Drosophila melanogaster: one gene and its partner. The protein of the gene in region 1 purifies or fractionates together with the protein of each later gene. This does not show direct contact. Each region holds a gene or a part of one and is shown on either strand. Other genes may lie near its edges.

Region 1 (6,568 bases):
ATTACTTAAAGCCAGAACCACCGACCGTCGCATGGTTTCAAAACTGGGATATTGCGGTTCGGGAAAGTGCAAACTAAAAAGAAAATCTCAATTGATCGCTAAACAACTGCGTTTAGATACATACCGGTAGATCCTTGCCAGCACTCTCCTCGCCAAAATCTCCATGAACTTCTCCCACATTCCAAAGACCCAGGCCGAGATTCCACTTCGCTGTTGGCCATCATACGGCTGTGGGACATACCAACGCTCCTCGGGATTACCCATAAGGCTGTTGACAAATCCAGTTGGCTGTTGGGTGGAAACTATGGCCACTGGACAATTGAAATGCGCAGCAACTCCCAGCAGATGATCGTTGAAATGATAGCCCAAGAGGAGGAGATCATAGGGAGTATTAGGTTGATTTCTGAGAAACATCTTCCACTCCGGCAGATCAAGCAGATCTCCAGAATGCTCCAAACGCCTAAACATCCGTTCCAGGCGCAGAATGAGGTCCGAGGAGGATACTTCCTCTTTTGGCTGCTGCCAGGGAATGTAAATGTGTGACACATTTCCCTGAATTTCCTGCTCCTCCAGCGGCAATGTGGTGACTAGGGTTAAGTGGTGACCCCTCTGCAAAAGAGCGCGACATACCGCCAAATGGACCATTAACTGCGACCGGTGCACATTGACAAAGAGACCCAAAATGTGATGGGATTCCACAGGGGCTGGGCTATCGGCCAGCAGGAAAATGCATGTGTAGCCCATCCACAGAAGTGACCAACTGATCGGCGAACGCTTCATGACTGAGGCGCTCGACTCAAATTTACATTAGCAGCTAATTAGCAGAGTCGCACGGACACACCATAAATCAATCAAAATGATAACAAGCGATTTGGTTACCCAACGACATCAAGTCGAAAACTGTGGCGTCACGGCGCTGTCCAATCAGAGCCATTAACAAATTTAACAAAATCAAAGAGCACAGTTATTTATGTTTTTAACTATTTATTTAAGTGCTTAAGTCAGATAACTTCAAACCTTACGCCTTTATGTTTCACCCAGTTCATTGTTACATGTATCAAATGTGTCGCCCAGTTTTACACCCCTTATCGAAAATGTGTTAAAATTTCGTTTTAGGAAAATCATAAAAATAGTGATAGGGATAGTTAGTTATATTTATTAGCAGTCATTAGTTTAGCTGTGACACCTTTTTTGGCCAAGTTTTGGAGAAATGAGCGATTGGAAATATACGATTTTCGACAAAATTTCTCTTCGTTCCTTTTTCGTTACAAAAATAACGAGTTTTTTTGCAATAGCAATAAGAATAGTTGTCCAAAACTGGAATGTCATATCTCGTTGAATTCGTAACTTAATTCCCTATCCATATGTGTTGAAACCTGAAAGATCCAAGAGGCTTCAATTTTTTGCAAATTTTGATGAGGGTACCCCTTATCAAAAATGCGAAATTTTGTAAAAATTTTATTTTTGGAAAATCAAAAAACTAGTGATAGGGATAGTTAGGTATGTTTATTAGCAGTACAAAACAGTCTTTATTTTCGCTGTGCCACCTTTTTGGCCAAGTTATGGAGAAATCAGCGATTGGAAATATACGATTTTTGACAAAATTTCTTTTCGTTCCTTTTTGGTTACAAAAATAACGAGTTTTTTTGCAATAGCAATAAGAATAGTTGTCCAAAACTGGAATGTCATATCTCGTTGAATTCGTAACTTAATTCCCTATCCATATGTGTTGAAACCTGAAAGATCCAAGAGGCTTCAATTTTTTGCAAATTTTGATGAGGGTACCCCTTATCAAAAATGCGAAATTTTGTAAAAATTTTATTTTTGGAAAATCAAAAAACTAGTGATAGGGATAGTTAGGTATGTTTATTAGCAGTACAAAACAGTATTTATTTTCACTGTACCACCTTTTTTGGCCAAGTTATGGAGAAATCAGCGATTGGAAATATACGATTTTTGACAAAATTTCTTTTCGTTCCTTTTTGGTTACAAAAATAACGAGTTTTTTTGCAATAGCAATAAGAATAGTTGTCCAAAACTGGAATGTCATATCTCGTTGAATTCGTAACTTAATTCCCTATCCATATGTGTTGAAACCTGAAAGATCCAAGAGGCTTCAATTTTTTGCAAATTTTGATGAGGGTACCCCTTATCAAAAATGCGAAATTTTGTAAAAATTTTATTTTTGGAAAATCAAAAAACTAGTGATAGGGATAGTTAGGTATGTTTATTAGCAGTACAAAACAGTATTTATTTTCACTGTACCACCTTTTTTGGCCAAGTTATGGAGAAATCAGCGATTGGAAATATACGATTTTTGGCAAAATTTCTTTTCGTTCCTTTTTGGTTACAAAAATAACGAGTTTTTTGCAATAGCAATAAGAATAGTTGTCCAAAACTGGAATGTCATATCTCGTTGAGTTCGTAACTTAATTCCCTATCCATATGTGTTGAAACCTGAAAGATCCAAGAGGCTTCAATTTTTTGCAAATTTTGATGAGGGTACCCCTTATCAAAAATGCGAAATTTTGTAAAAATTTTATTTTTGGAAAATCAAAAAACTAGTGATAGGGATAGTTAGGTATGTTTATTAGCAGTACAAAACAGTCTTTATTTTCGCTGTGCCACCTTTTTTGGCCAAGTTTTGGAGAAAACCCCGTACGGGCATATCAGATTTTTAGCATCATCTTTTGCAGCGCTGGAGGAAGCCAGAGTTTTCACTCACCAATAAAAAATGTAACTTAGTAACTTTAGCCAGATTTTCCGTTACTTTTTAAGTTTGCGCTGAACAAATGCAGTATTTTCTAGCTGCCGGGAAAGAAAACCGGATAAAAAAACCCGAGAATCTGCTGTAGGACTATAGGTGTGAAAACCACATAAATTCTGAGTTAGTATTTTAGTGGTTTTTTGGGGCTAGCAAGCTTTGGTCACATCAATCTGATCCCTTAGCGGCGTTCCATTCAAAAACTGCCATTAAAAATTAAAACTCTGGATTGAATGGCGTTATCAGTCGAAATTGAAAGGGTAATGGACCAGGGCAACTGCCTGATGCCCGACATCAATATCTGCCAAAGCGACTTGGCCAATCCCACCGAGCCCATTGTCACCAAGATCATGGTGCACTATCTGCGGAGTTTCGGCTTTCGCCTGGAGCCGCCCTATAAGATTGGCACCGAACTCGGTCACTCGTCGCGGGAGGCGCGCGTCTTTCTTATCCGAGTGTGCCGCCAAGTGGAGCGCATCGTCCAGATCAGCTTTCCCAACAAGACGTACACCTATATGGACATAATTAAACCAGGTGAGCCGGCAGCCGGTCTTACAATAAGCAATTATTATTAAACAATTCTTTGGCTATTAGCTGTTAAAAAAACGCTCGCCACGCTGAGCTACCTTTTCAACCATCTGGCCTACTACAAGGTGTTCAAAAAGAAGGTGCTGGGACCTGTAGAGGAGGCCATTAAGCTAAAGGATTCGCTGACCGCCGAGGTGAAGGCCAAAAGTCAACAGCTGGAGCAATGCAGCCAGAAGACGAAGGATTGCGAAGTGGCCATAAACAAACTCAAGAAAGATTTGCAGGATACTCAAGCAAAGCTTCTACCTTTGAAGAAGTCCTGTAGCGAGCATGAAAACACTCTGGAACTCATTGAGCAGCAGCAGGGTGAGCTGGACAAACGCATCGGTCACTGGGAACAGCTAGTGGTGGAGGACAGTCAAGTGACAGAGCTGCGAGAGTAAGTGCTGTCGGGCAAGCCTAGATTCTGTGCTTATTTTAATGTCAAACATTGTAGGAAAATTAAGAGCGCATCGTCGCATGTCGAGAGCTGCAAGACGGAGCTGGCCAGTAAAAAACAGGTGACGAATGAACATCGCCGGATGATCGAAAACAGTCAACATATAGCCACCGCTTTGGAGAAGGCCACGGCTGTGCTTTCGCTGTGCAAGGTGGATGATTACAAAGAGAGCTTCAAGCAGCTGGAGGCAGTGGAAAAGCAGTTGCCCACCTGTAAAGTTAATTATCAGAAGCTCCTTCAGGATGCAGAGGCCAAGAAGCAGGAACTCGCTCTTTGTGCACATCGGTACGAGGAAAGAAACCAGGAAAACGATGCCGAGAATCACAAGGTGCAAAATGAACTCAAAAAGCTGCAGGTCGATGTTGAGGATCGCAAGAAACGTCTGGAGGATCTGAATAATCACTTGATCGAGCTAGACCAGCAAAATTTGGAGCAAGATCAGCTATATGCCATATTAAATGAGCAAATCCATGAGGTTCTCGGACAAAACTGGCAGATGAATTCCACTTAATATACTGATTTTATTCTATTAATGCAAAACAGCTCAGCTCGTTTTTATGGTTAGGACTGAACAAAGGGGTCGGTGCCGGTTTACGTTTCCATTTTCTTGCTCTCCAAATGGGCCTTCAACTGCTGGCTGAAGTCGTCCTCCACGTTGTCGTCGTCCCAGTTGTCCTCCCACACATTTAGCTCTTCCTCGTCGTCGCCAACGCGGAAATCTACAATGAAAGTGATTAGAAACTGCCGATGTACCACCACATTATTGCGTCCAACCTTCGGCGGGAAACTCTTCGAACTCGTCGTCCTCCTCCAGGAGACCCAAGTCTTCGCTCTTGTTGTTGGTCTCCTCCTTCTCTTTCTCCTTTTCCTTATCTGGGGCAGACATTTTGTGTGCTTTTATTAATTCCAACGGCGATAAAACAATGTTTTTGACGCTATTCGCGTTTTTTGTTGCTAAATGATGCCAGTCACTTTTAATTGTGTGACCGCAGCTGTACCGTCGAAATATACCCAAGTGAACAGGAAAAAATACTTTCAAAATACCGTTGGCACCCGACAGTGATGTCAAATCTAACTTTATAGCTAGAAAAAAAGGCTAAAGAATTAATTAAGAATATTACAAACAAATGTTGGCAGATATTTGGCAACTTGACACAGCCGTTAATAATTCTAATATATTTCTCCTTTTCTAGTAAAAGAATTAAGTAATTAGGCTTTTCACCCGACTAAATTGTGAGTTGAATTCAAACGCAAGCTATTACAATCCCGAAAAAGTTGAAGCACTTTAAAAATGAAGTTCATTTAAGATCTCAAGTTTCTCAGGTTTGTTGTAGACTTTAAAATTGGCTTTATATGCATTTAATGATTTGTATAACATTTTTACGGCTGGCTATTTAGTTTTCAAGCTAAAGGGATTATTGAGCATTTGGGTTTTAAGCTACATTTAATTTAACTGTTGCTGCTGGTTGGCTATTTTAAACAATTAGATCAAAAATGTACCATATGTTAACATTAATAAATATATATGTTATATGCGTATAGTTTTTCATATTGTTTCCGTTCTTGAATTGCTGCCTTTTGATTTATTGCATAGCGAACTTTAAGTTTTGTCTATTTTTGGGCTGGTTTTCGTGCTGTCCGAAATGTAGTAAAAATAAAACATATTTCACAATTTGTATTCTTCCATTTAGTTGACTTAATGGTAAAAATTTTGTATGCCAAAATATATACTCCTTTGTTGCATCGTTAGTTTCGGTTTCTAGAGTTCACAATTTTAACTCTAGTTCAACATTTAACATTTAGTTGTTGCGGTCTGCAAATCTACATAATTAAATAGTTTGTTTGATTTCGTTTGTGTTTACATTTAGTCTGCTAATGTTATATACGAGGAATAAAACACCTTATATTTGATTAGTAATATTGTTGATCAGTATTGTGTGTGGTTTTGGGCTCTCCACTTCGCTCCTTCTCCGTCATTTTTTAAACATTATTATTCATCACAGATGCTCTACGCACAAATCAAATTAAATTCAATGCAATTATTATCATCGTTTAACAATTTGTTACAAGCTCCGATTTTCCGTAATTGCTGTAGCTAAATGGGGCGACAAGTTGGATGGGACACATATCCGTGGGATCGGGACATACATTCATTCATCTGGATTATCCCTGAACAAGAGCCTGTCCTGCTGCTGCCAGCCCACTTAAGTAGTGGTGATCGTTTACAGTGTGTGGAGAGTGGTTAATTCTATTTAGTTTATAAGATAATATGAAAGCTTTTCTAGAAAAAGTGTTGTATCACATATAGAGGAAGTGTTAAATATGTATTCATTTGTTTAGCATTCGGTTTTGCCAACTGTTTTGTTGCTTCAAGTCAACAGTTCGTAACAAGGATTTGCGTTCTTAAATATTAGAGGATATATATGTAAATAGAGTTAAATTAATCAGCTTAGCCTCAATAAAATGCTTTAAAGTAAATACATAAATACGAGCAGTCCGTCTATCCATTTGGACTTCAATTCGGTTATTGTTCAAAAAACATTTTTCAAGATTTTTGCCTCAAGGTGTGATCAAATCAAACACAGAACCTATATTTCTCATTCGTTTTCGAAGAAAAGCACCAATTAAGTTACGCTTAAACACAATAAAAAAAAAAGATTTTAAGCTTGCTTGAGGGGAAAACACATAGTTGTAGCAATAAATACATAGGGGATAAAGTATAACAGCTAAAAATACATCATAAATACTTAGCATAGCTTAGCGTTTCGTGTGCTTGT
Region 2 (4,819 bases), 6.3 Mb from region 1:
TCGTGTGCCAAATGACCAATTTCAATTAGAGATGCGGAGCCAGAACATCGGAGCTTACAAGAAAGCACGCAGCACCCACACGCAAAATTCAAGTGTCCTTGGAAAGCTACACGGAGAACTACTTGCACTCCCATCAACTCGCCAATAATAATAAATAAGCAGATAATACTGTTCATAAACACATCTGCAGATAGAGTTGAAAGCCATTTGTTTGAATTGAAAGTTTGGCTAAGAAGTAATTGCTGCAACTTTATGTGGCAAACCTTCGATTTTTTTTCGCAGTGCAACCACACACTCAGCAATCTGCTGGCTGTTTAAATATGAGCAACAGATTAAAACTTAATTTAAAGTTGACCCAGCCGGGTTTCGTGTTTCCACTTCAAGTTTAATTAATATGTTAAGCCCGTAAAAGCCGCTTCGGTAAACTAACCCCACCAGCCGGTTGTTGCTCCGGTGTTTGTTTTTTGTTCGGCCCATTCCCGAAAAGGAAATCAACCCCCCCCCCTCTCCCACCGAGAGCTTAGGCAAACAAAAGGTTTGCGAATCGCATTCCATGGAAGATGAGGCGTCTCCAACGATATGAAGGACTTACATGTGTAGCTGGAACTCGGTTTGCATACCAATTGTCTGACGCTACTTTCGACCATTGTACTTGCGTTTCATTAGTGTTAATCCGCAAAATCGGTAGGACTACGGCTGCCATATCCAGATATGTGCAGATACATATACACAGCCTTGTATATGGCGGCAGCTGTGGTTTCATGCATTGTTCTAATGCGTGCTTAAAGCGCATTTCCAGCACGCATGAGTGCCCACAGTTGCGGTCACATGAATAGTGGTCGGCTCCTAACCATCGATTTGCGCGACAGCTTGTTAGTTCAGAAACTATTAAAAGTCGCTTAACTCAGGCAAATTCTGCACAATTGATCTACATATGTGTGTCAAGCACACGTAGGCGACCTCCACTGTGGATTTGCATGCGAATGCAGCTCCCAAATTCACGAACAAAGCACAAAGCACCACTCGACAAATGCGCTGTAATTCGAGGCGACAAGTATGCAGCGAAAATTTTAAATGCATTTCACGCACTGCGGCTGACGCACCGCTCCCCCAGCCCCACACCCCCTCCCACCACTGGTATTTTCCCAGTGGTTCTCCATTCCTGTCACGCCCGCAAGTGTCGCCAAGCGACGGCTGCCGCTGCCAGCCAGGACCCACTGTTGCACACAGGACGAACAGATCAGAGCCAAGCCAACATATCCGCTTCTCATCGATATTTAAATAGCGCATAATCAAGGTGATGATAACACTATCAGCAAATGGTTATAACACACTGATGTTCTTAAACTAAGAAAACAACAATGTACGTTTAGAAGCCTAAAAGGATAAGTGTTTCTTTCAGTGCAGATGGCGTTGACTTGATTGGAATTTGACCAGAATTTCGCCCACTGGCAAAATGGAGCATCAATTAGAGCCAAGTGATTTATCCAATTTGTAGCAGGAGAAACCCTTGACAGGACGACACGAGACTTTCTGATTAGTAAAATAAAACTCGAATAACTTTTTAGCAATCTGACGTCAAAGGATCAGACACGAACGCTCGGAATTGAATATCCAAAAGTTTCTTCTTTCCTCGAGATACAGCTGAACTTTGCTCAAGAACTGATTGCTTTATGTTATATGGAAACTCAGAGGAATAACTTTCTCAAAGGGTTTCTAGGTAAGTGATATGAGTTTATTAAGAAGAAGTATTTTTTCAGAACTTAACATTTTCACTAATTAAAGAGAAGACTTTCGGGGAAAGCATATTCTCTCTTTTGAGCAGGACAAGCGCAAACAGTGTGAGAAATGCATAGTTATTTGGATTGGTATAATTCAGAATTCAGAATTCAGAAAAGTATGCAAAACTTTGTCTCAGAATTTAGGCTCATTTGCATACCAGTCGCACCACAAAAAGTCAACATCTCCAAGTTTTTCACACCATGTGCACGAGAATAAGAATATTAAAATCGCATCTTGCTTGAGGTGTTCGCTTTATAAAGCCATTACCAACTATCCGAAGGACGAAGGCGGGTGGATCCTGGGCGGTGGTTCCTGAACAGTCCGCATGTGTCGGCCGGCATTTTAACACTTTAATCATTGAAATGCAAATTCGGAGCCGAGTTTTAGCAAGACATGCGGCAGAGTGGCACATGCATGTTAACACGGCCACCGACTGGCACGCCTCCTGATTCTGCTTCTGTTCCTGGAGGGGACAGCTCAGGATTCTGGCCGGGATTTAGCATATCTGAGATCCGGGCCACACAAAGAGAAAATGTGTATCGAAACGGAGAAGATGCTAGTGGGTTTTTCAAATCTCACTTAATGGTGCCTGAAAGTATGCACCAAGTTTTGAAAAACATGTATGTCCCATGGGTAACAATGTTTTCCGGGTAACAATTTCGAACTTTCCACCTTTTCATTTTTGTGGCATTTATGGGTCGTTATAAGATTGATGTCGAAATGATTTTTCCTGTGCAGGGGAGAGCACATTTCGAATTCTGCCTACTCCACAGCTGAGTTCCTTTTCGGACCCGGAAAATAATGGAAATGCCGGACCCGGCGAGCGAATAAATTAACCTGGATCGCATTTATATTCGAAAGTAGTGGCTCGGTGATGCTTAAACCTGAGTTTGCCGCAGAATGCTTCCTTTATTGCACGTAAATAAAGTCATAAAGTCATCATTACAACCGCGCCAACGAGGAGCACACGATAAGGAGCACAAAGGACAAACTTTTGTGACTGCGATAAAAATTCGCAAATGCGCACAAATTACTCAAAACATATTAAAAACTGCGTCCCCGCCTCAACAATTTGCCCAAAACGTTGCACAAATTAAAAACCCTCTCGAAAGAGCGGAGATAAAAGGAAATTCCATTGTGGCAAGTTTTCCCGATGTGGCAAACTGCAGTGAAAGCACAACTTTCGGGGAAACTGAAAAGTGCAGTTATTGAGTGTTAGTTGCAAGTTCCTTCGCCGATGCGACATGTGAAAAGTTGTGTAATTCAGTTCGAGAAATACACTCTGAATGTGGCGTAAAAAATGAGTTCAATGTTATATTGAGTGTTTTCGAAGTAATGCCAACTTACCAGATTTGATGCTTGAATTTAACCAATTAGCCAATAACCGTTGTTTAAAATAATTTATACAATATATATGTTATCATAATTGAAAGCAGCTCGAATACCCTATACCTACAATCATGTCATATAGGGGTTGGTATTCACAACCTATCTGTAAATGGTCACATATGTTTTCGGTCGCCAAGTTTTGCTTGTAATTATTATTTTGCCAGAATTGTGTTAAAAGTATGAATAATATTGAAGAGGACACCGAAGCAGCCTTCAAACGGCTCCAGGCTGTCATTCCACAGGTGAAGCAGGCCTACGAGGAAGCCATTGGACAGATCTTCTCGGATTTAAAGTAGGAGAATGGCTGATTAAAAGATTGACCAAACGCTTACTATTGCTTAGCTCCTCAGATCTTGAGTCGTGTGCCTCCATCCTCGAGGAGCACGAATCCACGAGCCTGGACACCGAGCAAATAATCCACAGCACCCGTCGGCTTATGACCAAGATCGTCCTGGATGTGAACCAGTGCTTCTTCTCCGGCAACGACGTGGAGACCAAGCTGACCACGCTGGAAATGCTTAAGGAGCAGTTTGCCGCCCACGAGGGCAAGAACTGGTTAGTGAATGGTTTTGAATTTGGTTGTCCAGCAGCACTTTCCATGGTTTTTAACGTAAATCCGCAGGAACTTCAACTGTCTGTCCCCTGAGGAACTTACTCGCCCTCTGCGCATGCACAACTTGAATCTAAGCATCACATTCATGGAGCAACAGCTTAAGAAACAGGAAAAGGAACTCGAGGTATGTATTTCAACCTCCGAAGAATTAAGTAATACTTGGATTACTTCGATTTTAGATTGCTATGGCCAAAAGCATTAAAAATCGACAGCTTATACATGATGTCCACGCTGAACGGGTGAAAGTGGGATGTATGATGAAGCAGCAGTTGGCCGAGTACCAGGCCATTAAGCCACAGTTAATGGAAATGGAACGGCTAATAAATGATTCGTATGTGCAGGAAGAAATGTAATTTTATAAAAAAAAACAGATTATTATTATTATTATTATTATTATTATTATTATTATATTAGTTGCTGGGTCTTGAAATAAATATGAATTTCAAACTTACCGCCACAAGTGGCATTGAATTCGAGCGGCGCTTTCCAACACTTCGATGCGTGTGCACAGCTGACTTGCCGGCAAATGAAAAACATTGAATAATATTCCGAAAGCATGCTGAACTTGTCCGTGGTGCTCCGGGTGCAATCATCGCGCCATGTGGCTTCATATGCCACAGCGGCGGCGGCGGCAGTTAAGACGAAGCCACCAAAGGCAAAGTCCAAGGGCAAAAAGCAGAAGGGGGAGCCCCTAATCTCCTGCAGAAGAAGCCAGTTCGATTTAACCCAATACGAGCAGACGGATGCCAAGTTTGGGAGTCTTTCGCTGGCCTCCAAGGGCTGGCTGCACAACAAATCCAAGGGAGACTTCTTCATCCTGAACGCCAGCGTGCGAGGTGAGGAACTCCAGCAGGAAATGCAGACCGTCGATGAGTTCCTCGAGAGCACGGGGATGCAGATTCATCCGCAACTCCTTGAGAACTTGCGAGTCGAGCTGGGCATCAAATTACTGACGGGAATCCAAAAACAGGGAATGCCCGTTGTCCATGGAAATGAGCACTGCCTCATTGCCGCTGAAACTGGGTGTGGAAAAAC

What was found.
Region 2: the proteins of Nuf2 (region 1) and Nnf1b purify together in Drosophila melanogaster (affinity purification with mass spectrometry, with the first as the bait; one large-scale study listed by BioGRID). This does not show direct contact.

Annotation. Positions count from the first base shown.
Region 1 is NT_033779.5:7,062,195-7,068,762, reverse strand, and holds Nuf2 (Nuf2), read left to right. Parts: upstream 1-2,925; 5' UTR 2,926-2,997; coding exon 2,998-3,298; intron 3,299-3,358; coding exon 3,359-3,731; intron 3,732-3,788; coding exon 3,789-4,302; 3' UTR 4,303-4,332; downstream 4,333-6,568. Other genes in the region: Ugt307A1 (UDP-glycosyltransferase family 307 member A1), read right to left, coding at 1-73, 125-780; Sem1 (suppressor of exocyst mutations 1), read right to left, coding at 4,383-4,510, 4,566-4,677.
Region 2 is NT_033779.5:807,296-812,114, forward strand, and holds Nnf1b (Nnf1b), read left to right. Parts: upstream 1-3,281; 5' UTR 3,282-3,350; coding exon 3,351-3,463; intron 3,464-3,513; coding exon 3,514-3,726; intron 3,727-3,793; coding exon 3,794-3,908; intron 3,909-3,963; coding exon 3,964-4,137; 3' UTR 4,138-4,236; downstream 4,237-4,819. Other genes in the region: Dbp21E2 (DEAD box protein 21E2), read left to right, coding at 4,341-4,819.